Callithrix jacchus: one gene and its partners. The protein of the gene in region 6 interacts with the protein of the main gene of each other region in a pairwise test. Links are inferred from orthologs where the notes say so. Each region holds a gene or a part of one and is shown on either strand. Other genes may lie near its edges. The genes, in order: FAM161A; MFAP1; CWF19L2; keratin, type I cytoskeletal 19; TASOR2; CARD9; TCL1A.

Region 1 (4,730 bases), on a different chromosome or scaffold from region 6:
ATTCTCCTGCCTCAGCACCCCCTGGTATCTGTGATTACAGGTGTGTGCCACCACACCTGGATAATTTTTGTATTTTTAGTAGAGACAGGGTTTTACCATGTTGGCCAGGCTGGTCTCGAACTCCTGACCTCAGATGATCCACCTGCCTCAGCCTCCCAAAGTGCTGGGATTACAGGCATGAGGCACCATGCCTGGCCAGGAGTGAGATTTTAATTGCAAATTACATAGCATTGCTTTACCTGTATCATCATCAGCAATATAACAGGATATGTGGACTAACATCTCTGACTAAGGCCAGATTCAAGGAACAGGCATCAGTGCCCAATATGGGCACTGCAAGGGGTGTGTGTGTGTGTGTGTGTGTGTGTGTGTATGCCAGAGGGGGAGCGTACATGGGGATGGTGCAGGGGTTGGGGGGGGTGAAGGGAGGGTGGGATGGGTGGTCTGGTTTTGGCAAAACCAAAGAGCTGAAAGAGGCCTATTGTGATGGGTGGTTCTCAAATCTATCTTGTGGGGTAGGTATAATATTTGACTTTACTACATTTCATAGATAATAAGGTTAAGGCAAATTAACCTTTAAAAATCAAGACGGAGACCCAAGCCAACCAGTGAAGAAAGTAAAGCCTATTTCCTGCACTCTTCCTGCCTTTTTAGTGCCTCTTTCCCCATCCCTGTGCCCCATGGCTATCAGGTCCACTGTGGCAGCTGACCCACCTTTACTTTTGGATCTCTTATGTGGGATGTCTCTACTAAAAATTGTCTCAGAACAGTAACAAACTGTTAAGACTTGGCTTCCCAGGCTGGGTGAGGTGGCTCATACCTGTGATCCCAGCACTTTGGGAGACCGAGGCAAGTCGATCACTTGGTCAGGAGTTCAGAGATCAGCCTGGCCAACATGATGAAACCCCATCTCTACTAAAAATACAAAAATTAGCACAAGGCAGGTGCCTGTAATCCCAGCTATTGGTGAGGATGAAGCAGGAGAGTTGCTTGAACCCGGGAGGCAGAGGTTGCAGTGAGCCAAGATCGTGCCATTATACTCTAGCCTGGATAAAGAAGCAAGACTCGAACTCAAAACAAAAAGACTTGGCTTCGTTTTGTTTTTTGTAGGATTCTGTCCTTTCCATACTAGATTACTATATAAACTGATCTGTCCTAAGGTAATTAACAGGGCACTGTGGAAGTATATTTGCAGCTTAGAAATGACAGACTCCTTTATCACAGCAAGCCAAAGTAGAGTTTAATCTTTGGGAAGGCACACAAATGACATTCCCACTGGCAACTGTCATAATTATTACTCGTTTATATAGATTGCTTTTTAGAGGAGACACACATTCTTTCATTTGGTTCTCATAACAGCTGAGATGGGAAAGAGACAATTATTATAGATCTTTTACAGATAAGGAAACTGAGATTTAAGGAAGTTATGTCCTAACATCACCTAGCAAGCAGCAGAGAATGGATCCTAATAAGAACTCTTAAATCCTTTTTCTCAGCCGGGCGCAGCGGCTCATGCCTGTAACCCCAGTATTTGGGGAGGCTGAGGTGGGTGGATTGCTTAAGCTTAGGAGTTCAAGACCAGCCTGGGCAAATGGTAAAACCCCGTCTCTACTAAAAAAAAAAAAAAAAAAATACAAAAAATTAGCCAGGTATGGTGTCGTGCACCTGTAGTTCCAGTTACTCAGGAGGCTGAGGCAAGAGAACTGCTTGAACCTGGGAGGCGAGGCTGCAGTGAGCCGAGATCACACCACCGCACTCCAGCCTGGGCAACAGAGCAAGACTCCATTTCAAAAAAAAAAAAAAATCCTTTTTCTCCATAATGTTGCCTACTGAAAATTGTGTTGAGGGGTAGCTTTACCATGAACAAAACTGGCCTTAGCTCTCTGAGCCTGGTTCATGTTCAGGGTCTAATCTGCCTTACTCTAGGTAACTTCAAGTAGTTTGTCTGTTGGTGAAACACTGACCATAAAAGATGTTGCTAAAGATTTTCTCATTTAACAATTTTACTGTAGATAAAAGAGATTAAAATTCCAAAAAACCCAGTGATTTCAATTAATCCTCAATCTTAAGTTTTGTGTCTGAGAAGCTTTGGACACATGGTATTAAGAAACTTTTTCTATCTGCAGATTGCTAGCCAAATTCAAGATTCCATCTTTTAAGTGAATACAGCAGATGGCAGACCCTGCCCTCCACCTGTTGGACTGGTGTCCACAACAGATTTAACATTGAAAACTAATCAGTGAAAAGTCTGTCTGACCCTGAAGAGCCGTTTAGGAAACACTGAAACCTCAGTGATTTGCTTTTCCGAATGCTTATCTGTATCTGTCTGATCTAGCTAGTGAACTCGTGATGGTTTTAAACACGCATCTCTAGAGCATTGTGTTGAGATCCACTTATAACCAGGATCTTAAGGTGAATGACGAAATATACCTGATAGAACAGTTTTCCTCAAATTACAAAAAAAAAGGGGGGGGGGAGCGGAAAGAAATATCCATTCCTGAGATGCTGGAGAGTAGAGAGTAAAATTCTGTACTTTGCACTCGCCAGAAATAGAGTAACATAAATGTTGTCTAGGAAATTTTTACAACAAACTCTTTGGTCGAAAATTTTACAACAAACTCTTTGTTGAAAATTAAAACACTTTTGAACGCCTCGATTTAGAGTATTTTTTGTGAGCGTAAAGAAGCAGATTGGCCAGGACCACCGACTAGGGAGTATGTGCACAGGGCCTCGTACCAGCCTACCCTCAGCTGGGCGGGGACCCAGACAGCCCTCAGCCTGACCCCAGCCCACGCGAGGTCCCAGTCCATGTCCCGCCCCTGCATTACCGACGCCCCCGCGGGCTGCGCCACTTTCTCCTCCTCTTCGTCCTCCGAGATCGCTGTCGCTGCCGTCAGGGCCTGTAAGGGATCTTCGCGTTCGTACTGGGCGACCCGCGCCCCAGTAATGGGATTGACCGGGACCTGGAGACTGGAGGCCGCCAGTTTCGCCGCTTGGTGGGAGGCGGCCATCACCCCGCCTCCGAGGCCTGAGCGCCTGCGCTGGCCCGGGGCGGGAAAGCAGGCGCAGGCCCAGGCGACCCTGCGGCTCCTTGCTAAGGAGGGCGGTTGCTAGGGGCGCCGTAGCTGGGAACGCTACAGGAGCCGCGAGGGACCAAAAGTCACGCAAAAACCCCGCAGGCTGCTAGAGACCCGAGTCGGGCGCTCACTGGATCGTGGCACCTAGTTCCCAGTCTGTTTACTGGTTCCGAACGTTGGCAGGCTGAACAGAGCATTTATTCCACTGCTTTGCGTCTAACCGCCTAAACGCAGACTTCTCACATTATACAACGAAACAACTGCTTTTGTGAAGAAACGAGCGCTTTTTTATTAACTGCAATAACATGTTAGAAGGAGACGGTTGATAGAAGAGACGGCGGAGGAGGAGGAAAGCAGGGCGTGTTACTGGGTGACATTCTCAGAAGAGTGGCAAGCGTGGCGTCCCAGTACCTAACATGGCTCCCCCGGGAGCCAGAGAGTGGAAAGGAGGAAGGTACATTCTACTCTGATTGACTTCAGGGCTAGCAGGAATCCACCAATCAGAAAAAGGCTCCCAGTTGTCCCTTTCGCGTTTTTCTTGACCTGACCAATAAAAGCCCAGAGTTGAGTGGCGCCTGACCTTCCCACTAGTGTCAGTGCAGGTAGTGTAAACCTGGCGTTTGCTTTGGGTTTGTCAGCTTGAGAGTGACAGGATTGAATGGCGCGAGTGCCCAAGAGTCACCACAGACACACCCATCTCCCTCATCCCTATTTCTCTTCCCACTAGGGATTTGGGCGCATCAAATGGCGCCTTCCCTCTGCACCACGTGGCAAAAAGCCAAACCTCAAAATAGCAGAGTGGTGCAGTCTCAGATAACTGTTCCCTAAGCCCCTGCTTACCGAGGCCGAGGCTGCCGCTCTCTCGCTACCCTCTCCCTGTTCTTTACTCTCCTCCCGCTCCCCAGCGCTACAACCGGCCACCGGAGCCACCTGTGGTCAGTATTTTCCTCGTTATGTGTTGCACGTCGTCGAGAACCTAAAGGTCTGAGCCCTTTACCAAACCTTCTTTGTTCTCCTGTCTGGATGTGAGCACCTGCAACGTCTCCCACGTCCACACTTTCTTCAGGCTAGTCTTTGTTTTGGCTGAACATTTGTTTCCCATGCTGAAACAGATGCTGGCTGGGTTCTAAGCAGAAGCCAGAACCATGAGATATGGACCGCCATGTGTGGCCAAGTGTCCAGGAGAGCAATTTCCAGTCAGTTATGGCAGCCAGTTTTGTGGCTGCACTTGCCTGTCTTGGGATTAGGTGTAAGCCAGACCCCAAAACAGCAAGGCAGGTTCACATGCTGAAGCACTGCGAATGGAAAATTAGAATAAAATAAAACACTAAAATAATAGGAATTAGTGAGTGTGGAAAACGTGTGTGTATATAGAAAAGCAGGAAAGTTTCAGTTCACCAGTAGTATTCTAAAATTGCAGATATCTAATAACATAAATAATAACATAGATCAAAGCACAGGCCAGGCGCGGTGGCTCATGCCTGTAATCCCAGCATTTTGGGAGTCTGAGGCTAGTGGATCACCTAAGGTTGGGTGTTCGAGACCAGCCTGGCCAACGTGGTGAAATCCTTGTCTTTACTAAAAATACAAGAATTAGCCAGGCATGGTGGCAGGCACCTGTAATCTCAGCTACTTGGGAGACTGAGGCAGGAG
Region 2 (4,238 bases), on a different chromosome or scaffold from region 6:
GGTAATTAATGCTTGTCAGCCTGGACATCATTTCCAGTATCATGCTAAAAATCTCCTTGGTGGATGATTCTTTTATTTCTTGACATGCACACATACATGGATCAAAAAGTATGTACCCGTAGAAAAATGGACCCCAAGCAAAAATGGAAAACATATTTCTATGAGCTTAGATTTCCTGGTATATTACTCCTAAACCTAAGGTAGAAGTAATGCATTGTTCACTTACATGCCCACTTTTCTAACCCAAGCTAAGGGCTGGAAAAAAACTCAGAACAGTCCCAAGTAAATATGGGAAACCATAGCAGTGATAAAACCTAAGATTTCTCAGAAATAGTTTTAAGCAGGAAGCTTCTAATTCTACCTGGACAGTGCTTTCCTTGTGGGTTTCTCAGCATGAGTCCAAACCTCGCAAAGCACCTTCCAAGTCTGGGCTACCCAGTATCAGAATTATAAAAGGTAGGTCCAATAGCTGGATACAGGGGCCAAGGAAATAATGAAAAAGCAAATCAAGGACCATATGCTGAGACTTCCCCTCGTGTTCCACAGTTGGAAGAATAAGCAAAACTACCCTAGGTAGTTTTCCGCTTCTTGGCAGATGGCCGTTCAAATACATCTCGTACCCCAGCTGCCTTTTGTTTGAAGAACTTTGTGTTCTGGGCACTCTCTTGGCCCCAAGCTGAGTCGAAGGAAGTGGTATCTTGATCCACAAGGTGAGTATATTTGGTGCGACCTGAGCGTCCAAAGTTCTTGACCTGAGGGAAGATGTAGGATGGTTACACCATCAAACCATACCTCATCTGTCAATACATTACTTTTTCATGTTATTAAGGTTCCCCATACCTGCATGACTTTAGGAAGAATGGTCTTGTTGAAATGATCCTCCAGGGTAGGAGCGCTGAAATCTCTCTTGTATACTTCTTCATCCTCATCCTGTAGAGAAGAATCTTATCAGTCTAGTGGCTTTATTTCCTATATATTCAAACCACAAACATACTTTACAATGAAGGATACAAAGAAAGCAGAGGGTATTGAGTCTTTCTTCAAGAGCTTACATCTAGTTGAAGAGATTCTTTTTCCTTTGTTGTATTATCTTTAATTTTTTTTCCCTGAGACGGGGGGGGGTCTCATTCTGATGTCCAGGCTGGAGTGCAGTGGTGTGATCACTGCTCACTGCAGCCTTGACCGCCCAGGATCAGGTGATGCTCTTACTTCAGCCTCCTGAGTAGCTGGGACTACAGGTGCACGCAACTATGCCTGATTTTCTCCTTGAATATAGACATGACTCAAAGGTTGGCTTATTCTCTCTGCACTCAATGTGTTCATTTACTCATGTGACTTCAGCTCTGCACAGGCCTCTCCAATCTCCAATCCTGGATTTTCTACTGCCTTTTATATAAGCTGGATATTTTATTGGGACTTTAAACTCACATCTAAAGTGAAGGGCAGGAATTTAGTTGCGGTGGGGATATTTAGAATTTGCTAAACAGTTGAAAAAGCTCGTCTAGTTTTTGATACAAACTGCTTTAACATGACAAAATCATAAACCATACAGGGTTAGCAGATTGGTATTTTGACTTTAGACTTTACGTGAAGAACAAAGATGGCACTCCACCTAATGGTTAGATAATAAACCATTCTTTTGGTTAGTTATGCTTAGGTACTTTGTCAGTTCAGAATGAAGTGAACCTTTTACCACCCAAATGTGAATTAATGTAAAGCTATTTGCAGTTTGGTTTTCACATACCCAAAACTTCTTATTCAGGTATGAAATAATAACAACTATGTGATTTGGAGGACCTAATTAGTCCACTATCTATATAGATCACTTCTCCATTTCATTTCCTCAGTTTATCTAAGGCTGGGGATGATGGCGCATGCCTGTAATCCTAGTACTTTGGGAGGTTGTGGTGGGAGGATTGCTTGAGGCCCAAAGGTCAAGATCAGCCTGGGCAACATATAGTGAGACCTGGTCTCTGCAAAAAATTGAAAAACTAGCAATTAGCAAAAAGAAAAATTAGCCAGGCATGGTGGTGCATGCCTATAGTCTCAGCTACTCTGGAGGCTAAAGCAGGTGCATAGTTTGAGCCCAGGAGGTCAAGGTTGCAGTGAACTATAATCATATCACTGTATCCCAGCCTGGGTGACAGCAAGACTTTGTCTCGTAAAAAAAAAAATATATGTCTATTACATCATTTCCTCTTTTTGAGAGCTGGGGCCAAAAGAGAGTTGATTACACTTCTATAATCCAATTACTGATGATGCTTTTCTCTGAGTTTATATTCTTCAGAGGGAAACAGCAAATGAGAAAGCTGACCACTGGCAAGTGAAAATAACATTCTTGAGGAGAAAAAATAATTCAGTATCTGAGTTATTCCTACTGCCCAATTTTTGGACTCTCTTCTCACTTCTTACCATGAAGAAGGCACCCCTGTGATAATACTTCTGTAAGAACTTATATTTGCCCTTAACAGCTTTGTTGGTAATAACTTTGCCATTTGCCCGAAGCTCAGCTCTTCTCTCTTCCTCAGTCAGGTTTCGCATGCGTTCAATTTCTGCTTTCTCCTTCTCAAGCCTGTCCAGGGAGCAAAACAATTTATTGGTACTGTTACAGCTTCAGAAAGACCAAATTATCTGAAAATAACAGTCCCATGTCATTCCAAATATTATTCACCCTCTTTAATTCTAGTCGCTGCCTATTAGGAATCAAGATCAGGAGCTCAATAAACAAAAGGGTAAGTTGGTCTTCATTATTTTTGCCAGACTAGGTATTGTCCACTTCCAAAAGTTGATTCTAGCCATTTTGAGGTTCAGACATACTATTATTACTGCTTCATTTTGCAACATTACAAATTCTCTTTCCCTAAAAAGTATTCTTAGCTTTAAAAAAAATCAGTGAATTTAAAATAACTGTCCAGGACTTCGGTGATATTCCTTTATGTAAGTGTATCAGAATCATATAGGTGCTTGCATGTCATAAACCAAAGATTACTGTTATTAATTAGATTGCAGTAACTTTTTAGCCACTATTAGGGAGAGAGGGGGTGATATCCCCTTTTTCCAAAAAAAAAAAAAAAAAAAAAAAGCATATATACACATAATTTTGTGTACAGTTTTTTTTTTTGTTTTGTTTTTTTTTTTGAGATGCAGTTTTGTTCTGTCACTGAGGCTGGAGTGCAGTGGCACAATCTTGGCTCACTACAACCTCCACCTCCCAGGTCCAAGCGATTCTCCTGCCTCAGCCTCCTTAGTAGCTGGGATTACAGGTGTATGCTACTATGCCTGGCTAATTTTCTTATTTTTAGTAAAGATGGGGTTTCACCATGTTGGTCAGGATGGTCTCAAACTCCTGACCCTTGGCCTCCCAAAGTGTTGGGATTACAGATATGAGCCACCATGCCCAGCCTTGTGTACAATTTAAAAGGGCACTTGGACTCCTACTCGTTCAAGTCCAGGATAAGAACCTTAGAAACTACAGACTGAGGGCTGGGCATGATGGTCATGCCTGTAATCCCAGCACTTTGGGAGGCCAAGGCGGGTGGATTACCTGAGGTGAGGAGTTCGAGGCCTGCCTGGCCAAAACGGTGAAACCCAGTCTCTACTAAAAATTAAAAAATTAGCCAGGCGTGGTGGCACATGCCTGTAGTCCCAGCTACTCTGGAAGCTGAAGCAGAATTACTTGACTCCCAGGGGGTGGAGGTTGTAGTAAGCCGAGATCACACCACTGTATTCCAGACTGAGTGAGAGTAAGACGGTCTCAAAAACAAAACTACGGGATGAGGATGGAGTTTTATCTATTATGTGTAGCTTATATGGCTCATATTCAGGCAAATTTTGGTTGTTTTTTCAGACAGTCTCACTCCAACTCAGGCTGGAGTGCAGTGGTATGATATCAGTTCACTGTTACCTTTGACTCCTGGGTTCAAGTGATTCTCCTGCCTCAGCCCCTGAGTATCTGGGACTAACAGGCACACACAACCAAGATGGCTAATTTTCACATTATAGTATAGATGGTGTTTTGTCATGTTGGCCAGGCTGCTCTCTAACTCCTAGCCTTAAGTGATCTGCCCACCTCAGCTTCCCAAAGTGCTGGGATAACAGGTATGAATCACTGCGCCCAGCCTTGAGTTATCTATTGATTGTTTCCCTTTATAATCTGGGATTATCATCTCATACCTAGTAATTTACAGGAATGGGTGATGCAGCTCAGAAATGATTCTTCTTGAACTGGGCATGGTGGC
Region 3 (4,238 bases), on a different chromosome or scaffold from region 6:
CAGTATTGCTTGAACCCAGGAGTTCGAGGCTGCAGTGAGCTAGCATGGTGCCACTGCACTCCAGTCTGTGCAACACAGGGAGACCGTACCTATCTCTTTAAAAAGAATTAATAAAAACACTAAACATAGGAGAAATCGCAATCTTGAGGTGTGCAAAAATTAGTATACCAGAAGCACTAAGAAAAAATGATGAAAACTAAAAAGAAAATATTTAATAAATTGGATTTTACAAAGGAAGACATAGGATGTCCTATAGAGACTTAAAATGATGCTCTACATCCTTGTCCTTCGGGGAAGCACCACATGAGGTATTACACAGCAGAACAGCTAAAAACTACTAAGACTGACAATACCAAGCACTAGCAAGGATGAGGAGTGACTGGAACTCATACACTTTGTATGAGTGGAAAATGCCCAACCACTTTGGAAAACAATGGCATTTTTCCTCCCAGAAACAAGAAACATGTATATCCACAAGTGTATACAAGTGTTCCCCGTAGCACTAGGCCTAACACCCCCTAACTAAAAATAACTCAAATGACTTTAACAGATAAAAAGAAAAGCAAATTGTGGTATATTCACACACTGGATACAGCAATAAAAAGAAAGTATCTCCTGATACATTCAATAGCAGGAATAAGTCACAAAAACACTATGTGGGGTCCAAGAAGCCAGGTACAACAAAGATTATGTTACATGAACCAACTAACATACAAATCTAGAACAGAAAAACCTACAGTGTGCAAAGGAGATATTCGGTTGTTCAAAGCAAAGTGGAGGAGGAGACAGGGAGACAGGGGCTGACTAGAAGAGGCCATGAAGAACGTTATGGGATAGCGGAAATACTCTGTATCTCAACTGACATGGTTAAACAGCCATATTTATCAAACAGTACACTGAAAAAAGGAGCACTGTACTTACATAAATTGAACCTCAGTCAAGTTGACTTTAAAAGTTAAAAGAAAAAATTAAAGTGACCTTGACAAAGCCAAGATATGCTTTGCAGCCTCACATGTATCCCCAGTGCTGCTCAGCACATTTTTTTTGCTTCTTTTATTACCTAAGCAAAGCTGTTTCAAATCTATACTATTTCCTCAATCCCTCTGTCCTACTTTTACTCTCATATTATCTCGTCAGTCATTTTACCTTCTACTTCATAAAGGAAGGAGGACAAGCAGAAACTCCATACCACACCTCCTCATTTATTTATATTGGTACATTTTTACCACTTCCCTCCTCATTCAGAAGAGAGGCTGCTCCTACTCCTGTACCCTCTCTTCTGAGCTAGGAGGGAAGTGGTAAAAACGTGTAGCTCCAAAGCTACCCTTTCCCCCAGGACCTTGCTACACCAAATTTATTATTCTCCTCAATACTATTTCTCTCTCCTTCCCTAAAAGTAATTTCTCAAAAAGACCCTCCCAGGAAGAAAGAGCAAGATGGCCAGTAGAAGCCTCAATCCATCATCCTCCCCTACTCCCTGCAAGAATACCAACTTAACAACTATCTACATACTCAAAAAGCACCTTCATAAGAGCCAAAAATCAGGTGAGCACTCACACGACCTAGTTTTAACTTCATATCACTGAAAGAGACACTGAGGAGGGGAGCAGACAGTCTTAAATGGCTGACACCATCCCTGCCCCATCCCCCAGCAGCAGCCACGCAGCACAGAGAATCTGTACACTTTGGAGAGGGAGAGCACAGCGACTACAAGACACCGCATTGAGCTCAGTAGTGCCCTGTCACAGCAGAAAGCAAAACCGAGCTAAACTCAGCCGACGGCCACCTATGGAGGGAGTATTTAAACCAGCCCTAGCCAGAGAGGACTCGTCTATCCCAGCAGTCAGAACTTAAGCTCCAGCAAGCCTTGCCGCCTCAGACTAAAGGGCTCTGGAGCTCTCAATAAACTTGACAGGCAGTCTAAGCCACAAAAACTTGCAATTCCTCAGTGACTCCTAGTGCTGAACTGGCCTCAGAGACAATGGATGGGTGGTGGTGGGGCCACTGAGTTGGCTAAAGGAGTGCTTGCACCACCCCTCCCCCAACCCCAGGCTGCACAATGTGCAGCTCCAAAAGAGACCCCATCCTCCTACTTGAGAGGAGAGAGAAGAGCAAATGGAGAGAGAACAGCAAATAGAGGACTTCCTCTTGCGTCTTGGATACCAACTCAGCCATAGCTGGTATCCAATAAAAAGCCCTTGGGCCCTGAATAACCACCAGCAGTGCCCAGGCACTACACTGTGAGCCTTCACTGTGAATCTGAGACTTGCTGGATTCAGGTGAGACTCAGCAAACTCCCAGCTCTGGTGGCTATTGGGAGGGCCTCCTTCTGACTGAAAAAACTAAATGGGACTTTGTCTTACATCTTAGGTACCAGCTCAGCCACAGGGTGGCAGAACACCAAGAGGGATCTTGGGGTCCCCAACTGCAGGCCTTGGAACTTGGATGGCATTTCTGGATCTGCCCTGGACCAGAGCGGGGCTCACTGCCCTGAAGAGTGAGTTTCAGGCCAAGTAGCATTCACCATAAGCTGACTGAAGAGCTCTTGGGCCTTAAGGGAACATTGGTGGTAGCCTGGCAGTACTCCCTGTGGGTCTATGGTGATGGCTACAGGGTGAGGCCCTTCTGCCTGTGGGAAGGGGAGGGAAGAGTGGGAAAGACTGCCATTCATAGGTTGAGTGCCAGTTCAGCCACAGTTCAACAGAACACCAGGTAGACTTCTAGGGTTTTTGATGATAGTACCTGGGTCCCTGATGGCACCTCTGGACCCACCTCGAGCCTGGGGGAACTTGCCACCCTGAAGGGAAAGACACAGGCCTAGCTGGCTTCACCACCTGCTGACTGCAGAGCCCCAGGGCCTTGAGTGAACACAGGCTGTAGCCAGGTAGTCATTATAGCAGGCCTTAGGCAAGAGCCAATGCTGTGCTTGGCAATAATTCCCAAATCATATCCCTATCCTCTTAACCCTTCTCTGAAACTCAAGATCAACATTTCCAGTATTTCCTGGACATCTCCAGTAGATGTCTCCCAGATATTTTCATATCCTAACTAGTAACACCTTTTTTAAGTTCTCTTGTATTTTAAGTTCCCATAAGTCATGCATTCAAACTTTGATTAATTTTCGTACATACTTACTGATGAGCTTTCAGATGACTCATTGTTTTTTTCATATTTCTGTTTCTTGCTCTTTTTCTTCTTCTCTTTCTTTGCTTTTTTTGAATGCTTGTCTTTTTTCTTCTTTTTCTTCACAGAGTGTTCCTGCAATCATTTTGAACAGGCAAGAAAAGAATTTATCTTCATCTTAATTTAAAAGGATGTATTTTGAGAGAAAAAACAAAATCCACATTCTAAAAAACTTTCAATCTTTGATGAAATAAGACAAAGAATATGTCTAAATAAATAAAATCTTTCAGGAAACCTTAAAACACCTGCTACAATATATGCAATATTAATAAATTATATAACTGAGACTTCTTTTAACTGAGAACTTTTTTTTTGAGACGGAGTTTCGCTTTTGTTACCCAGGCTGGAGTGCAATGGCACGATCTCGGCTCACCACAACCTCCGCCTCCTGGGTTCAGGCAATTCTCCTCCTGCCTCAGCCTCATGAGTAGCTGGGATTACAGGCACGCGCCACCATGCCCAGCTAATTTTTTGTATTATTAGTAGAGACGGGGTTTCACCATGTTGACCAGGATGGTCTTGATCTCTTGACCTCGTGATCCACCTGCCTCATCCTACCAAAGTGCTGGGATTACAGGCTTGAGCTACTGCGCCCGGCCATAACTGAGACTTCTTACCAGAAAAATACTGGGAAAATTTTGGCTATATTTGGATATTAATGTGACAAATATAATCAATAAACACATATATACACAAACATGTATACATATGCATACATATACACACATAAACACAAAGACATATAATATCCTTCTATGGTCCCCCCAGAAATTTATACAAGATTATTAGGCCATAAAAAATATAAGAAGATAGCACAAACTAAAATTACAGGAAAAGCCTAGGGGAAGGACCAGGGATAGGGAAAGGGAAGATGTTGATGAAAAGGTACAAAGTTTGCATGACACTAGAAATAAGTTTTAGTGATATATTACTGATGACCGTAGTTAACAATAATGTATTGTCTATTTCGAAACCATTGAAGAATAAACTTTTAATGTTCTCATGACAAAAAAATAAGTTGGTGAGTTGACAGATATGTTCATTAGCTTGACTGA
Region 4 (3,386 bases), on a different chromosome or scaffold from region 6:
CACACGCAACGCACACTGACAGGTACAGCCTCCTGAGCAGGATGCCTGGCCCGAAATCCCCAGTGTCAGTAAGATGGAGAAATGTGTCAGAAGGAACTGTCCCTAGGGATAGCCGGCCTGAGCCTTCATATGGAGCAAGACTGGAGTGTCAGCAAGACAGGCACAAGCAGCGTCAACTCCAGGAGACCACCTGGCTGGGGATGGCACGATGGGCTAAGAATCAGGCAACTTAGGTTCTAGTCCTGGCTCTGCCATGCAGTTGCTGAGTGGCCTTGGACAAGTTACTTAACCTCTCTCAGCCTGCTTCTTGAGCTGTAAGATGCAGCTCATACTACCTATCTTTTAGGCCTGTTTTTGATTCAATGGCACATATTAGGTGTTCAATACATATTAATTTCGCTCAGATACCTCAACCCCCAGGGAGTAGAGTAGAAAGAAAACTAAATCTGGAAGCAAAAACAATTTCAAATCCCACCTTTGCCATACATTAGAGCAGTTACATGTGGAACAAACCACTTCGCTCCCTGAGCCTTAGTTTACCTCTGTAAAACGGAAGCAACACTTATTTCACAAGGTTATTTTAAGGGCCAGGTTAAATAAATGAAGACTTCCGCAAACAGGAATTACCATTACAGTCAAGGTATGTGTGTATCCTCCCCTCCCTTTCCTGGGACAGAGTGAACTTTGGTTCAAATAAAACCTACACAGGGCCAGGGCCTGACGCACCTCTCCATGGGCTGAAATAACAAACCAAACATCCTTCCTCCCTTGAACCATAAAATTTTATTGGCAGGTCAAGGGACGTGCCTGGGGATAAGGGTCCCTTCCTTCCCATCTCCTCACCCAGGAGACACCCTCCAAAGGACAACAGAAGCCCCGGGCCCGCTGCCTTCTCAGAGGACCTTGGAGGCAGACAGGTTGTTGTAGCGATCTTCCTGGCCCTCCAGCAGGCTGCGGTAGGTGGCAATCTCCTGCTCCAGCCGCGACTTGACGTCCAAGAGCCGATGGTACTCCTGATTCTGCCGCTCACTATCAGCCCGCACATCGCCCAGCTGGGCTTCAATACCGCTGATCCGTGCCTGGATCTCCGCCAGCTGGGCTCCAAAGCGCGCCTCCGTTTCTGCCAGTGTGCTTTCCAAGCCAGCTTTCTGAGGGTGGGGAGAGGGGAGTAAGACTCGGCAGAGCCTGGTTCCCAGAGAGGACGTGGGCATAGCCACCGGCCAGGCTGCCCTAGGCTGCTGCAAGGACAGAAGTGTGCATGGCACAGGGAACCAGGGGATACGTACCATGCTCAGCTGTGACTGCAGCTCAATCTCAAGACCCTGGAGGGTGCGCCGCAGGTCACTGACCTCGGTGTTGCTCATCTGGAGCTGCTCTCTGTGGACAGCGACCTCCCGGTTCAGTTCTTCACTCTGCAGAGAGGAGGAAGAGGGAATAAGAGAAGGAAGAGGGAATAATACTCAAGGCCAAACTTCGCGTAGGGAGCACCGAGCCCTCTCTCCTTGCCAACCCCCAAAGCGTGCCTGCTTCCCTCTGCGTACCCGGCTGGTGAACCAGGCTTCAGCATCCTTCCGGTTCTGCTCGGCCATGACCTCATATTGGCTTCGCATGTCACTCAGGATCTTGGCGAGATCGGTGCCTGGAGCTGAATCCACCTCCACACTAACCTGGCCTCCCACTTGGCCCCTCAGCACACTGAGTTCCTGAAAAGATACAGCAGACATGAGCATGTCAGGACCCAGCCCCCTCTGGAACTGGCCCAGGTCACTCCCCCACCCTCCAGGCCAAAGGGGCTTAGTTTTCAGGTGCAGACCTAGTAACTAGCACTGGGGGACAGACTAGGTCCTCACTGATCCCTTTTAGAACTCTGGGATCCATGACCCACACCCAGGGCCATGGTGAGGGTACACCAAGTGTTACCATGGTCAGAGGATACAGAATAAAAGTTTTCAGCCCTGGGAGGTCAGGGAAGCATGGAAGAAAGGCCCAGCTTGAAACCCACCTCCTCATGGTTCTTCTTCAGGTAGGCCAGCTCTTCCTTCAGCCCTTCAATCTGCATTTCCAGGTCAGTCCTGGCCAGGGTCAGCTCATCCAGCACTCTGCGCAGGCCGTTGATGTCGGCCTCCACGCTCATGCGCAAAGCCTGCTCCGTCTCAAACCTTTCAGAAAAAATAGTTGCAGCCAGGCAGAGTTTTCTCTGCATCTCTGAAGACTTCCCTACCTCCCCAGAGTTCAGGAGTCCGCAGGGGGCTTAGCTTCAGGCCAGCTAGGCTAGGTGAGGGCAGATTCCAAACCCCCCAGCCCCAACCCTGATCCTGGCTTCTGTAGCCACCAGGGCAGAGACACTCACTTGGTTCGGAAGTCATCTGCAGCCAGACGGGCATTGTCAATCTGCAGGACAATCCTGGAGTTCTCAATGGTGGCACCAAGAATCTGGAAGGCAGAGGCAGAGGTTGGCACCAGTGCAGCACACAGGTGCTGCCCACTCACTTTCTTCTCAGAAGAGAAAGGGAAGCAAATGAATATGCCCCTGCTCTCTAGACACCAAAGCCCTAGCCAACATCTGCCGCCCACTGGCCCACTCTCTGGGAGGCCTTGAAAACAGTCCAAGCCCAGGAGCTGGGGCAGGAGGAAACACTGGAGCCAGGGAGGCACGGGCGGAGGAGGCCAGGAAGGCAAGGGAGGAAACCTCTGAGACCTGTGTGCAATGAAACTCTAAATGGCCTGAAGGGGGTCTATAAACCAGACCCGGGGAGATTTTATCTATACTTTTGTCTGTAGCCACCCACTACCCAAAACACATTTTGCCTCCAGGGAAAGAAGCCCATTTGTTGAGTGTCTATTATGTGCCAGGCACTTTGAATCTCATCTTTGATAGCCTCTGGTTCCTCACTGCTAGGTCACTGGCTACTCCAATCTTACAGAGGTAGAAACTAAAGTTTAGGGTGATGCCTCATCCGAGTTCACCCCAACCTGAGGTCTTTCTGACCTGAGGGGTGCATTCACAACTGCCACCTTATCATTGATTATGGTAACTGGGTTGTTTTTCAAAAAGCAGGTCATCACTCACTAGTCAATGCATCAGGTGGTGACTGTTGGTTTTTTGGTCTTTTTTGGAGACAAAGTTTCACTGTGTTGCACAAGTTGGAGTGCAGTGGCGTGATCTTGGCTCACTGCAACTTCTGCCCACTGGGTTCAAGCAATTCTCCTTCAGCCTCCCAGGTAGCTGGGACTACAGGTGCATGCCACCACGCCCAGCTACTTTTTTTTGTATTTTAGTAGAGTAGGGTTTCACCGTATTGCCCAGGCTAGTCTCAAACTCCTGAGCTCAGACAATCCACCTGCCTCAGCCTCTCAAAATGCTATGATTACAGTCATGAGCCACT
Region 5 (3,254 bases), on a different chromosome or scaffold from region 6:
AAATTTTTAATTTTTTGAAATAGGGTCTTGTTCTGTCACCCAGGCAACAGTGCAATGGTGTGATGATGGCTCACTGCAGCCTCCACCTTTACGGCCCAGGCTCAAGCTATCCTTTTGCCTTAATGAGTAGCTGGGACTATGGGCACACATCACCACACCTGCTAATTTTTAAATGTTTTGTAGAGATGGGGGCTTGCTAAGTTGCCCAGGCTAGCCTTGAATTCCTAGGCTCAGTGATCCACCTGCCTCAGTCTCCCAAAGTGCTGGTATTACAGATGTGAGCCACCGTGCCTGGCTGCCCCATAAATTTTTTAAAAGCAACCTCTGCCTCTGGGGTTCAAGCCATTCTCTTGCCTCAGCTTCCCAAGTAGCTGGGACTACAGGCATGAACCACCAAGCCTGGCTAGTTTTTGTATTTTTAGTAGAGATGGGGTTTTCACCATGCTAGCCTCAAGTGATCTGCTCACCTTGGCCTCCCAAAGGGCTGGGATTACAGGCATGAGCCATTGCACCTGGCCCCAGTATTAATTAAAAAACAAAAACATATGGTACAACTATACTGTGAGTATTATAAGTAATCTAGAGCTGATTTACATATATAGGATGATTGTGTAGTTATCTGCAAAATACTACATTTTATATAAGGTCTTCAGCATCAGAGTTGAGTGACTCTGGTATCCATGGGAAACCAAGCCATTTAGATATCTGATGAATAGTATCAGGTATCTAAATGGACATCCCTAGAGCTGACCAATTTTGGCATTAACTGAGTAAAATGAGCCTGTGACTTACCTGTCAGGAAGACAGCAAACCTGGCATTGATATGCTGAATTTGCAGGTTTAGCAAACATTTCAGAACTTCCGCTTTTGTTGATGATCGAGAGTCACAGTGGTGATAATGAAGCAATTCAATGATATTTGCACTCTGAAATGACTTCAATATTATGTTCTTTTTATGTGCAGTGGAATCCACTCTGAAAGATACACAGGAATATTAAAATGTTAATTTTCAGTTGTTTTATTCTTAGGACTTTTTCTTGCCTTCGGTCTAACCATTCAAACTTGAGATCCTCTGCCTTTCTTGTTTGCCTCTTTAAAGATGGAATCTTGCTCTGTTGCCCAGGCTGGAGTCACTGGCATGATCTTGGCTCGCTGCAACCTCCACCTCTGGGGTTCAAACGATTCTTCTGCCTCAGCCTCCCAAGTAGCTGGGACTACAGTCACGTGCTACCATGCCCAGCTAATTTTTGTATTTTCAGTAGAGACGGAGTTTCACCACATTGGCCAGTTTGGTCTCGAACTCCCTCATGATCTGTCTGCCTCAGCCTCCCAAAATGCAGCGATTACAGACTTGAGCCACCACACCCAGCCTGATGTTTTTTCATGACACACTTTGGTTGTCTCAAAACATCAAAACTGTACCTACTCCTTTTGTAAATGTGGATTTTCATCATGGACCTCATTCTAAGAGGGACATTACGCATCTACCTATGACCAATCAATCAAGCCATGTGGCTTGGCAAGCCTCCCATGAATTTCTAGTGGGCCTTACTGCATTGTGTACTTGCAGAGCAATGCAACTCTGCTCCTCATGCCTTGTGGACAGATAATCACCAACTTCATTGAAATTAAGTAGTAGTCAGAATTTTCTTGTTTTCTTGCCTCCCTGAAAAAACCCTATCAGTAGGAGAATGTGTTAACTTGGTACGTTTAAATATTTAGCATCTGTCTCTGCTCTTGACTCCATCTCCCTAGTCCTCATCGCTTACATTCTTATGCTTGTTGGAGAAAACTCAAATCACCCATTCCCATAACCCTAGTAATAATCACTCTTACATCATGATGAATGAATTTCCTTTCACTTTTTCCTATATACATTTTTTATATGATTAACATCATACTGAACATAACTATGTGATACCAACTTTTATGCTATCCTTATTTCTATGAATAGAAGCTTTTTATATGTTTCTATTTGTTGTGTAAGGTTTGGGTGACACTAGTTTGTATCCACATATCTCCATATCTTCCTCCTAAAGATGGAAGTGAGGTGGTTTCTGCAATTACTGATAATCACCTAGAATTCTGGGTAAATTCCACAAAAGATCAAAGGATATGAAGAGTTTTCATTAATGCATAATGATAATGCCAGAGTGGTGTAATTCGAAGAGCATATTACAGTGCCAACAGCAGTGAGTATGGCCACACACCACATAATGCCAGGCCATTATGAGACATATGAGATGGTGGTCTCATAAAATTATAATACTGTGTTTTTACTGTACCTTTTCTGTGTTTAGACATACAAATACTTAACACTGCATTAACTGCCTACAGTATTTAGACGTACAGGGTTGCAGCCTAGGAGCAGGCTCTACCATGTAAGTTTGTGTTAAGTACACTCTGTTTGCACACAGACAAGACTGACTAATGACATTTCTCAGGCTGTATCCCCATCCTTAAGTGACATGTGACTTTAAAGCCCTGGAAGTGCTAGATTAATTTATGCTGATTAATTTTATAGGTGTGCTGTGGTACATCAGAGCCTTAAATATGCTTCTCTATTTACTACATTGACATTTTCCCCTACAGTGCTAGTTATTGAAGTCCTCTGTGAACTGGTCATACCCTTGACCTGCTGAAGCCTTTGCACCCTCCTTTCCTGCCAAGGAAACCTGTGCTCTTTCTCTCTTTTGTTAGTTCTACTTCCAAGAGAAAACCTTTCCGAAACTCTGTGCATGGGAGCTTCTTTCCTTCAAGTCATGCGCAGCTAGCAGTGGTTCTGTCATTCTGGGACTGAAACCCAGCTTGAAACTTACTTGTTTGACTTGGTCGTGTTGTTGCCCACTCGGTGCCTCAATTCCGCATCATCAGAGTAAGGGCTTGCTACCCGCCTCCTAGGGCTGAAGTCTGAGTGTAAAGCATCATAACAGATGGAAAGCACCTGTCAGTGCCTGAAATCCTCATTTCACAAGGGCTTGTCAGGTCTGCTTTTCCAACTGGTCCTGCCTGTGAGCATGTGGAGGAACCTCTCAGCCCCAGCTCTCTTCAGCCAAGAAATCAAACACATTTTTTTTCTTTTACAAATTAAAGCTTTAGATTTAGGGAAGTGTGGCTATTTATCAGCCTCCTCTTTTAGGGTACAATTGAATTAAGGACAGATTATGGTCTTAATTTTTCCATTCTCCTCAAAATAGTGGTAACTTATAAATATTTTTTCAGTTTGTAGTAATAGGGCTTAAATAGAACAATAT
Region 6 (4,978 bases):
AAAAAAGAAAGCAGAAAAGAAAAAAGAAAGAGAAAGGAAGGAAGAAGATGGCAGGGAGGGGAAGGGGGGGAGGGGAGGGGAATATCTGTTAAGATGGAGCGGGATGGTAGAAGTTTCCCCTGACAGCAGGCTGGGATGAGGGAGTATTGACTTCATCAGTTTACTTTTTTTTTAGTGTTAGATATTCCTTCTGTTACTTAAAAAACAGGTCAGTGTGTTGGCTTAACCTGCAATCCCAGCGCTTTGGGAAGCTGAGGCCAGAGGATTTGCTTGAGGCCAGTAGTTTGAGGCCAGCCTGGGTGACATAGCGAGACCCCATCTCAAAAATAACAAAATAAAGATTAAAAACCCTCTGACAACTGCCCTCAAGGCCTGTGGCCCTGGTGCACCCACCTCGAATGGGGCACTCTGTTCCCCAGCCCCCACCGTGAGCACCCACCTGGTCCCGCTCGACAGCGACCTCCTCCATCTGCAACAGGATGGCCTCGATGCGGTCCTTGTACACCTTGCAGTCCTTGCGCAGGGCCCGACACTGCAGCTCCAACATCTCCTTCTCCTCCACGAACTGCAGGGGGTAGCAGCTCAGCCCCCAAGGCCTGAGGCTCCCCATTCTGACCAGTTGGGGGGTGCTCCAGCTAGGAGCTCAGGAACATGGGTCAGGTCAGTCGGGATGTTGGGGGAGGCCATAGGAGCCCCCAGGCCCCTATTACCCCGCCCTTCCAGACCACAGCAGCGCAGGGCTCTCCCCAGGCCTCAGGCACTGCCGTGCCCAGCTACAAGGAGCCCATGGCCTTTGCCATGGGGTGCAGGTGAGCAAGGAGTGATCACCATCCACTGTGCCTCCAGGAGTGGGTGAGTGGAGATGCTGCACTGGGGTCCCCGCACCCCACCTTCCAGACAGAGTGGGCGGAGCTCAGCCCACCTAGCCTAGCATGGCCCCCAGGGGCCACATGTCCTCGCCTGCGCTCGTACCCGGGCGTGACGGGCCTCGCCCTGGCGGAGGTCCTTGCGCAGGGAGAAGATGGTGCTGGCCTGCTCCTGGTGGTCCCGCAGCGCCTGCCTCCAGTCCTCTTCCAGCACCTGGATGTAGGGGCTGCTCCTGTCCAGCTTTCCCTCCTGAAGGGGGCAAAAAGCAATGGCCCAGCTGGGAAGGCCCATGCCACCCTGCCAGGCTGCACCCGCCCCACCTGTGCCCGCCCTGCCCGCAGCCACACCTGAACCGAGGCCTCCAGCTCCTGCACCCGGGCCTGCAGCAGGGCCTTCTCCTGCTGTAGCTCCCACAGCAGCTCCTGGCTGGGCCGCTGCTCCATGGCGTGCCTGAGCTTCAGTGTGTGCTTGCGTTCCACCTTGCAATCGTCCTCGGCCTTCATGAGGCTGTGCTTGAGCCGGTCGATCTGCAGAAGGCCGGGTGAGCCCAGCCATCCACTCCAGGTGCTGACAGCCGACCCACGGGGCTGCCCCCGACCCGCAGACCCCACCAGGCCAGGCGAGGGGGGCCACCCTGGTTCCCTGGGGCAGCAGGCGCACCTCCAGCTGCAGGTCGCGGTTCCGCATGAGCGCAGCGCCCTTCTCCTCGCTCTGGCGCGCCAGGCGCATGGCCAGGTCATAGTTCTCCTCCTTGCAGCGCTTGAGCTCACGGCTGCCGGCCTCGCACTCCTCCTTGAGCCTCTGCACACGCTCCTGGTGCTTGCGTAGCAGGCTGTCCTTCACCCGCAGCTCCTTGATGAAGTCGTCCTTGGAGCTCAGCAGCGCAGTCAGGTCCTGCACCTTCTTCTGCAGCTTCATGACCTCAGTCATCAGCAGCTGTGTCAGGCCTGACTCCCCGGACGCATCTGTGGACCGGGCCAGTGTCAGACAGGGCCCTTGTTCCCTGGCAGTCCAGCTCCATCACGCCTCGCGCTGTGGCAGGAGCTCAGGGCTCCTAAGCATGTGGGCCTGTCGGTTGACCGAGCACCACTGCCCAGCCCCGCCTTCCCTGCTGGCCCTGCCTTCCCCGTCACTCACCGATGATCATGGAGAAAACTCGGGCTGGCTCCTTGCCCGTGACCTTCTTGTACAGTTGCGGGTAGTAGAGCTCTAAGCTCTCGAGGAAGGCCACATAGCCCTTGTGGCCTGTCCGCTGCAGGATATCCAGGAGAACACCTGCAGGCCAGAGAGGCCGAAAAAGGGGCGGGGTGCTGGCGGGGCAGAGGGCTGGGATGGGTGGGCCCGGGGGCGGGGAGAGGTGGAGGCTGGGACGCAGAGGAGGTGTGCTGCTGTCTGGATCGTGGAAGAGGCACCCTGAGGGTCTAGGTGCTAGGCTGGGGGCAGTGCTGCCCACCCACCCCTTGGCTGTCTCAGGAGTCCCTGCTGTGGTGGGAGCCCCATGACCCCTCTTGGCAGCACCGAGCCAGCAAGAGAGGGCTGGGGGGTGGGGCGGCCACATGTCAGGGTTGAGTTTGGGCCTCACTGGGTGGCCAGGGGCAAAGCTGGGTGGGGTTCCTCTGGAGTTGAGGGTCAGGGTCGCAGAGCCTGCAGCCACCTCCGAGCTGGCTCCTTGGTTGGGTTTGGGGCCAGGAGCCTGTGGGACAGCACTGACCTACTTTCCGTTTGCGGATGACCAGGTTGGGGTCACTGAGCACCTGTTCCTCATCATCGGGATTCAGGACCTTGCACTGCCGCAGGTAGGGTGTGATGCGTGAGGGGTCGATGACCGAGGTGAGCGTCACCCGGAAGCCCTCCAGGGCACTCCAGCACTCATCATCGTTCTCGTAGTCCGACATGGCCCCAGCAGGCAGGCTGAGGAGAGTTGGGGCAGCCACTGAGCGTGACACGGCCTCCTGCCCCCACCCAGGCCCTGCTCCCACTCCCTTCTCAGATGCTGGGCCAGGGCTCTTGTCAGGGCTGTCAAGGGGATCAGCCCAGGGGCGTCTAGGAGAGGTGCCCATTCCCACAGCCAGATCCCCCAGGGAGGCAGCAGAGACACAGTGACACCTTCCCCTTCAGGTCCCTCCACAGCCTTTCCTAGCCCCTGCTGCTGCCCCTTGGCCATCCTGTCACCCAGATATGCACCCAGGGAGGCACAGATGGGTCCGAGAGAGGAACCCCCCCTTCAGCATGACCCCCACTCTGGCCTCTGCATCCTGGACACTCCCAATTCACCTTGGAGCCCTGGAGCCTGCAAGGACAGCCACCTCCATGGGTGGAGTGGTGTGAGCACCTGCCTGGCACTCTGGCCAGGCCAAGCTGGGTGAGAGCAGGTTGGCCTGTGACCCTCCCACCAGCACAGCAGCTGGGGGAGCTGGTCCTTCTGGGACTTCCTCATTCCCCTGACCGACACCCGCTCACATCCCGGGCTGTGCCCTCCCTCCTCCATGGCCGGCTGCTGATGATGCAAGAGTTGCCGCCCAGCCCTGCCACAGCTGCCAGGGTCACTGTACCAGCCAGGTAGAGCTGCCCACAGGAGTGTGTCTCTGTCACCCCCCCACTCCCTGGCCCCACAACCCTGGGAGGGGCTGTCAGTGTTGCCCTGGCCAGCCAGGAGTGCTGCTGTGGCATTTTCTCCAGGTTCCTAGGTGCTGGGCACCAGTGAATTCCTGGACTCTTCTGCCCCCCAGCCACCCCCTCCAGGACCATCTCGCTCACTGCAACAAAAGAACTACCCATGTTGGGACCAGCCACTGCTGTCCCTTTCTGCCAGCATGGTAGAAGCCTCCGCCACTGAAAGCCACTCCCTCCGGGACTGTGACTGGGCCAAGGCGGGGAGCACCCACATGGTCCTGCCTCCCACGCAAGACCCTGCTCCTCAGACAGCCTCCAGCCCCGCTGGGAAAGCTGGTTTCCAGCCCAAAGGAGCTGGGTCACCTCTCCTGGAGACAGTTGCCCCAGGCTTAGTCTTGTGAGGATTTTCTCAACTTCCTGCCGTGCTTTGTCTTCCCATTCAGGCCAATTTTGACAAACAGACAAGGGACTAAATAGAAGCACCACCCACACGGCAGACAGTCCTGGGAACACTGGGCCCCTGCCTTGCCTCTCCAGCCTGAATCCAGAGTCCCACCTGCCTCGGCTGGTAATGCCACTGAAATGTACACAGTGGCCGTGAAACGGATGGGGCCGCACATGGAGGCTGCCCGGCTCCCTGTGGAAAGCCTCATGCTGCTCTGGGGCATCAGCGCCAGGATCCTGAATGAGACTGACACCAACCTTCCTGGCCACCTTTCAGAAAAGCACCAGACCTACCCACCTGAGGGTCCAGGACCCACCTGACCGAAGACAAACCAGGAGTCTGGGCTGCAGAGCCTCTGGGAGATGCTACCCGTGACTGCAGGGAAGAGGAGCACGCTGGGATGCCTGGGCACTTCCTGATGGCTTCTGGTTAACTCCACAGTCCCGCCAGTCCTCCCACAGGGGGACAGTCCCTGGTGGCTTGCCTTCTGATTCGCCCAGCCCAGGAGGCCCCAAGAGGTGGGGCAGAAGGAAGTGGAAGTCCTCTGCCCTCCAGGGAAGCTGCTCCCAGCACTCCCAGCCTGTCTGGTGGCCAGGGGTCCTGGGGCTGCCTTAGAGGCCTAGCCCTGGCGCCTGGCAAGTAAAAGAGAAAGCAGAGGCTCCTAGAGGGCCCGACAAGGTCGGCCCACACCCAGTTGCTCTGACCTGGTCACAGACTTCTGGAGGCTTCTTCAGTTGGGCATGCTGTATGCAAACACCCTCGCCCTCACCAGCATCTCGGGACAGTGGGGCAGGGCTGGGCCAGCTGATATGGCCATGCCCTCAGGGCACGTGCAGGGGAGCACACAGCCACACAGCATGACCAGAACTCACCTTGGCCACAAAAGGGCTGCAGCCCACCTAATGACCCCCAGGAGGCCACTGCAGCCTGCCCAGGGCCACGGCACCAGCCACCACCCCCGCTGCACACGGGAGAAACGTCCCTTCCAGAAGTGTCACTCGACCTTGGTATTTATGCTCATGATGAGGCATCCCTGCCTCACCAGGATGCACA
Region 7 (5,011 bases), on a different chromosome or scaffold from region 6:
GCTGATGGGAGCAGAGTGAGCCACAGGCAGGTCCAGCAGGCCCTGGGTAGAGCTCATCCTCTGTCTGCCTGTTCCCTCCCAGAACCCAGCATGGTGGAGAGGAGCAGACACCGGCATAGGAAACGAGGGTGAAAAGAACCACGAATCTCCCCATTGTGGACTGGCCAGGTGCAGGCCCTGGGGCGAAGGGAGACAGACGGGTGCTGCAAGACCTGGGAAAGGACAAGAGAAGACAGAGTCAAGGGTGAAGGAAAGGACCAGGCAGGGGTGAGGGGCGATGCCGCTGGAGCAAGTCTGAGTGGGAAGCCTGGTGGTCAGTGATGGCCCCAGAGGCCTTCTGTCTGAGCCAAGGCAAACTCTGAACAGGATAGAGGGCTTATGGTCAGAAGACCACTTCCTCAGAACGCAATAACACCATCTAATATCTGGCTTGGTCGATATAATTTAAGAAAGCGACTGACAAAGTGCTGGCCGCAACTTGTGAAGCCCTGTACAGATGCATGCAGCTGCGCTAAGGTGGCCATATGCATCTGCGAAGCTCCTGGATCCCAGTGGTAAGGGAGAGACATGAGTGCCTCCAGGAAGCCTCTCCCATCCCAGGACCCTCAGAAGGCAATAGTCGGGGAGGGGTTAGCACTGCCCTCACGGAGAAGGGGTGCTCTTTCCTTCTGATACAGCCACTGTGGACTAAGAGGGGTCAGGTCCCAGTGGAACTCACCATGCCACACTCAGTCATCTGGCAGCTGCTCGAGAAGCATGTCCTCCAGGCCTTCAATCTGAGAGGCAGAGAGAGAGAGGGCACTGATCAGCCGGAGCCCTTCTCTCCCTCCATTTCTCACTCCTGTGCCTTCCCCTAGCTGGGAATAACAGGTGGGAACCCGAGTGTGAGGATTTCAGGGGCTCTTGGAGACTGCCCTCCTCCCTGTAGCCTTCAGCCTGTGACTGCCCACCAAAGGGGGCTTCCTGCGGCCAGGCTGGGGGTTGGCAGGGAATAGAGGGAGGGTTCTGTTAGAGACCTCAGAGGAGCTATCTTCTCTGTGGTAAAGTCTTTTAGAAATCCACAGTTGTACATTTCCCCCATTTTTTAATGCTTTTGGCACTGGGATGGAGGGAAGATAAACCACTGAGGCCAGGCACTGAGGAGGGGAAACCCAAGATCGCCCCATAGATCCCTGGGAGAAACACACTTGCCTTGACGTGGTACACTATGCGCCAGAAACCGGAGTCTGAGGATCGGTATCGTCCGTCAGGGTAGAGCTGCCACATGAGAGGCAGCAGGCTTGGGCCTATCTGGGTGGGGGTCATAGGCTTCCCCAGGAGGGTGACTTCCTGACGAAAGAACACCTGTAATTTATCCTCCTTCTGAGAAGAAGAAAAGGACAGGGCACACCTTCAGGATCCGCTTGCCAGGGCTCCTCCAGACACAGAAAACCAGAGTCCTTCCTGCCAGCCACCCACCCAGCTGGGGAGGGGTCTGAGTGTGAAATGCTGGTCATCACTGTCCCCTGAACCTCACTTCCTTAGCCATGCATGATCCTCACAGGGACTCTGGCTGGGCCAGGACCACCAGCATGCACACGTGTCTAGCCACCTAGAAAGGGCCATGAAAGGCACACTTTTTTCTGGCGAGTTGCAGTGACTCACACTTGTAATCCCAGTGCTTTGGAAGGCTGAGGTAGGAGGATCACTTGAGGCCAGGAGTTTGAGACTAGCCTGGGTGACAGAGCAAGATCCCGTCTCTACAAAAAAAAGAAAAAAAAAAAAAAGACGAAAGAAAAAAAAGAGAAAAAGAATACTGGCTTTTTCAAATGTGTGAGGCAAACCCTGCCCCACAGTTTGCTAGTGGGTTACTTTTTGTGTGCCATTTATCATGATTATGTGAAAAACTGTCTAGTTTGTGATTTTGGTGTCACGTTGAAGAAGAGATTTCTCAACCAGACATTGTAAAAAAGAAATTCACTGAATCTTTAAATTATTTTTTCAAATTTTGACTTAAGTAAACATTTGACATGATTTTTAAAGAAAAATGTATATTAAAAAAATTTAAATGCCAATAGAAGTGCAAATTTTGGTGGTTGAAGAGCCTCGAATTCCAGCCCCGTTACCTACTAGCAGTCCTACCTTGGGCACATGTATATTTTTGTGCTTCAGTTTCCCATCTGTAGAGACACAGTCAACACTCAATAACTCTTGTTTGCTATTGTATTACATACATGTTCTAATATATTTTTAAATTTGTATACTTTCTGCAGTGTATGTTTGGAAAGAGTTTGAATATTTTTGACTATTTCATTGAGTAAATCCAAATACTTGTAAAAGAGTTATAGTTCTCTAATAAAAACGTAACATGACCTAAAGACGCATTTTAAGGTATCACATATGAAACAAAGCCAATACTGATTCAATACTGGTGCTTAGACTCGTTAAATTTGTTCTTTTCTTTTTTTTTTTTTAATTGAGACGGAGTTTCACTCTTGTTACCCAGGCTGGAGTGCAATGGCGCGATCCCGGCTCACCGCAACCTCCGTCTCCTGGGTTCAGGCAATTCTCCTGCCTCAGCCTCCTGAGTAGCTGGGATTACAGGCGCGTGCCACCATGCCCAGCTAATTTTTTTGTATTTTTAGTAGAGACAAGGTTTCACCATGTTGACCAGGGTGCTATCGATCTCTGGACCTCGTGATCCACCCGCCTCGGCCTCCCAAAGTGCTGGGATTACAGACGTGAGCCACCGCGCCCGGCCTAAATTTGTTCTTCTTAATAAAGCACAGAGGAAATAGGAAATACCTCACACTCCAGCGCAGTGGTTGCTATGACCCTAAGCTGTTGAAAGTTCTTTATAAAATACAGATTTCTGGGACCCGCCTAAGATGATTCCGATGATTGGCCATATGAATGAGTCACTTACTTTAGAAATACCCATTTTAAGGATTAGGACCCCGAAGCCCAGAAACGTCCTGCTGTAGTCAACATTATAGTCACACTCACAGGTCCCATCCTTTGGTCGACATTCCTTTGTGGTTTTCCCACCCTTCTTCGCGGCCTGGTGAACTCCTGTTCAAAAGCCCAGAACCCGGCTCAAAGTGGCTTCATCTGTGGGGAGCCTCCCTGCCCCAAAGTGGGTGCTCCTCTAGGCCTCGCCCGTCCTGGGGCCTCCCAAGCTCCTGGGGCTGCCCCTGCTGCCTCACCATCCGCTCCAAAGCGGGCTGTACCTTGATGACTAAGGGCAGCCAGGTGCGCTGGTTCTCATCCAAATACACGAACTTCTCCCAGATCCACAGGCGGTCCGGGTGGTCGGTGACTGACTCCCTGCGTAACTGCTCCTGGGCCATGGCTCCCTCGGATTCTCTAAAAAGCAAGAGCCAGAGTCTCTCCAGGTAGCTCGCTGGTCCCTGGGCGATGGGGCCACGCTTTATAGCAAGGCAGCTTGCGGTCGCCACCCAGCGGCGGGGCGGGAGGACGGCCTTGGGGCGGGGCTCTGGGGCGGGACGACGACCTTGGCGCAGGGCGTAAGGCAGGATGGGGCGGGGCTCGTGGGGGTCGTGGTGGCAAGTGAGGGTCCCACGCAGCCTGACTTGCTCCCTGGAACGCTGGCAGCGCCTGGGAACGCAGACCTGGGCCCAGCAGGCCCGCGGCGACCCCGACCGCCGTTCTCCGCTGCTAGAGAGGCACCTGGGGTGACGGTAGCCCCTTCTTCTTCTGGGAGGCCCCGCCGCTCCCTTCGCTGCGGGACCCCGGAGTCTGGGCCTCTGCTGGGAACTCACAGTCGACACCAGGATGCCCAGAGCCGGGACCCCTTCCACATTTTCTGGGAGCAGAAGAGACCCACGCGGGCCTGAGCTAGGCCTGGGCTTTCCAAGCTTCGCTGGATCGCTCCCAGCCTGGGCCTTTAAGCGTCAGAGTACATTTCTTGGCAAAGTGCAACTCTTGACTCTCCCCCTTCGTCTTCCATACACAAAGCATGCGTTTTCTATGGCTCGGTGATGCTGTGGACATCTAATAGGTATTACAAAATGTGGTGGAGAAACATGGGTGTTTCCCTTTGGGCTTTGAATTTGCTAGTGAAAGCATAGTTCAAAATGAATACTTAAACCCCTCCTTCCACCCTAAGATCAGTGGATTTGAAAAGTACCTGGTTTATATGATCAAAACCATCTCTCTGTAAATTAGAAGCACTAAGGAAAACAATTCGCTTTATTTTGCAGTAACGCATTCCCACTGAGGCAATTAAGAAAGTAAGCATGAGAAACAGGTGAAACCAGCTCTAGCCTGATTCAAACATCACCACGGGATGGAGTTCGGTGCCTCCTTCTAGCTCTTTCCCATCTCTCTGGCTAGGCATTAATAAAATAATTTGTGATTCTTTGAAATGTCACAAAAGTGGATATGAAGAGACCTGATGAGGACACCTGATTCACCTGGCAGCCGGGTATCTGCCTCTTTGCCTGTCCAGACAACCTAATTCCCAAGAAGGGGCTGAGGTGGCCTAAGATAGCTGAGATATAAGGGAATTTACCAGGAACACAAAAATAGAAGAGAAAAGCAGAGGGAAGTTAGGGGTGGAGTGAGGGTCCTTGAGCCCAGCAAACCTTTTTTCCACTGTAGCCCTTAGTGCTGTTAATATTTAATATGCAAACTTACTGGTTTCAGACTGATTTTCCTGTGAATGGCTCTTGACTTCAGACCCAGATAGCTACAGAGCAAGATGAAAACGTCACAAGCTCTGTTGGGGAGGTCTCATCCCAGGCCACAGCTTTGAGGTAAGAAATAACAAGTCCAGTTAAAATAGTGCTGCTAAGATGGACTTTGGCCAGGGAAGGGGTCCCCAGGAGCCAATGTGGCCACTGACCCAGCCCCATCAGTGGCTCTAGGACCCAGAAGGCTACAAACAATGGAGCAAGAATCAGATCGTTGTGTCTGGGAAAGCAGAATGTTCTGGGAATAGAATTCCTTTTTCCTTCTTTTGTAAAAACTCTTCAATTTTGCATGAGGGCTTCTTAATATTGAGCAAGAA

What was found.
Region 1: the proteins of CARD9 (region 6) and FAM161A interact in binary tests that used the Homo sapiens proteins (3 or more experiments, as listed by UniProt). The two-hybrid records come from large-scale screens. The link is inferred for Callithrix jacchus from reciprocal best matches to the Homo sapiens genes CARD9 and FAM161A.
Region 2: the proteins of CARD9 (region 6) and MFAP1 interact in binary tests that used the Homo sapiens proteins (3 or more experiments, as listed by UniProt). The two-hybrid records come from large-scale screens. The link is inferred for Callithrix jacchus from reciprocal best matches to the Homo sapiens genes CARD9 and MFAP1.
Region 3: the proteins of CARD9 (region 6) and CWF19L2 interact in binary tests that used the Homo sapiens proteins (3 or more experiments, as listed by UniProt). The two-hybrid records come from large-scale screens. The link is inferred for Callithrix jacchus from reciprocal best matches to the Homo sapiens genes CARD9 and CWF19L2.
Region 4: the proteins of CARD9 (region 6) and keratin, type I cytoskeletal 19 interact in binary tests that used the Homo sapiens proteins (3 or more experiments, as listed by UniProt). The two-hybrid records come from large-scale screens. The link is inferred for Callithrix jacchus from reciprocal best matches to the Homo sapiens genes CARD9 and KRT19.
Region 5: the proteins of CARD9 (region 6) and TASOR2 interact in binary tests that used the Homo sapiens proteins (3 or more experiments, as listed by UniProt). The two-hybrid records come from large-scale screens. The link is inferred for Callithrix jacchus from reciprocal best matches to the Homo sapiens genes CARD9 and TASOR2.
Region 7: the proteins of CARD9 (region 6) and TCL1A interact in binary tests that used the Homo sapiens proteins (3 or more experiments, as listed by UniProt). The two-hybrid records come from large-scale screens. The link is inferred for Callithrix jacchus from reciprocal best matches to the Homo sapiens genes CARD9 and TCL1A.

What each region holds. Positions count from the first base shown.
Region 1 is NC_133515.1:52,274,224-52,278,953, reverse strand, and holds the start of FAM161A (protein FAM161A), read right to left. Parts: upstream 3,112-4,730; 5' UTR 3,012-3,111; coding exon 2,829-3,011; intron 1-2,828. UniProt on the Homo sapiens protein: Involved in ciliogenesis.
Region 2 is NC_133509.1:31,469,739-31,473,976, forward strand, and holds the end of MFAP1 (microfibrillar-associated protein 1), read right to left. Parts: intron 2,573-4,238; coding exon 2,413-2,572; intron 931-2,412; coding exon 841-930; intron 753-840; coding exon 570-752; 3' UTR 54-569; downstream 1-53. UniProt on the Homo sapiens protein: Involved in pre-mRNA splicing as a component of the spliceosome.
Region 3 is NC_133511.1:7,260,376-7,264,613, forward strand, and holds part of CWF19L2 (CWF19-like protein 2), read right to left. Parts: intron 3,259-4,238; coding exon 3,136-3,258; intron 1-3,135.
Region 4 is NC_133506.1:91,731,939-91,735,324, reverse strand, and holds the end of keratin, type I cytoskeletal 19, read right to left. Parts: intron 2,434-3,386; coding exon 2,351-2,433; intron 2,160-2,350; coding exon 2,003-2,159; intron 1,704-2,002; coding exon 1,542-1,703; intron 1,413-1,541; coding exon 1,287-1,412; intron 1,149-1,286; coding exon 894-1,148; 3' UTR 765-893; downstream 1-764. UniProt on the Homo sapiens protein: Involved in the organization of myofibers. Together with KRT8, helps to link the contractile apparatus to dystrophin at the costameres of striated muscle.
Region 5 is NC_133508.1:8,021,642-8,024,895, forward strand, and holds part of TASOR2 (protein TASOR 2), read right to left. Parts: intron 3,010-3,254; exon of another isoform or gene 2,820-3,009; intron 975-2,819; coding exon 793-974; intron 1-792.
Region 6 is NC_133502.1:184,844,007-184,848,984, forward strand, and holds the start of CARD9 (caspase recruitment domain-containing protein 9), read right to left. Parts: upstream 3,076-4,978; 5' UTR 2,928-3,075; coding exon 2,579-2,927; exon of another isoform or gene 2,426-2,578; coding exon of another isoform or gene 2,143-2,425; coding exon 2,005-2,142; intron 1,833-2,004; coding exon 973-1,832; intron 566-972; coding exon 440-565; intron 1-439. UniProt on the Homo sapiens protein: Adapter protein that plays a key role in innate immune response against fungi by forming signaling complexes downstream of C-type lectin receptors.
Region 7 is NC_133509.1:130,524,345-130,529,355, forward strand, and holds TCL1A (T-cell leukemia/lymphoma protein 1A), read right to left. Parts: upstream 3,394-5,011; 5' UTR 3,330-3,393; coding exon 3,186-3,329; intron 1,345-3,185; coding exon 1,192-1,344; intron 777-1,191; coding exon 729-776; 3' UTR 614-728; downstream 1-613. UniProt on the Homo sapiens protein: Enhances the phosphorylation and activation of AKT1, AKT2 and AKT3. Promotes nuclear translocation of AKT1. Enhances cell proliferation, stabilizes mitochondrial membrane potential and promotes cell survival.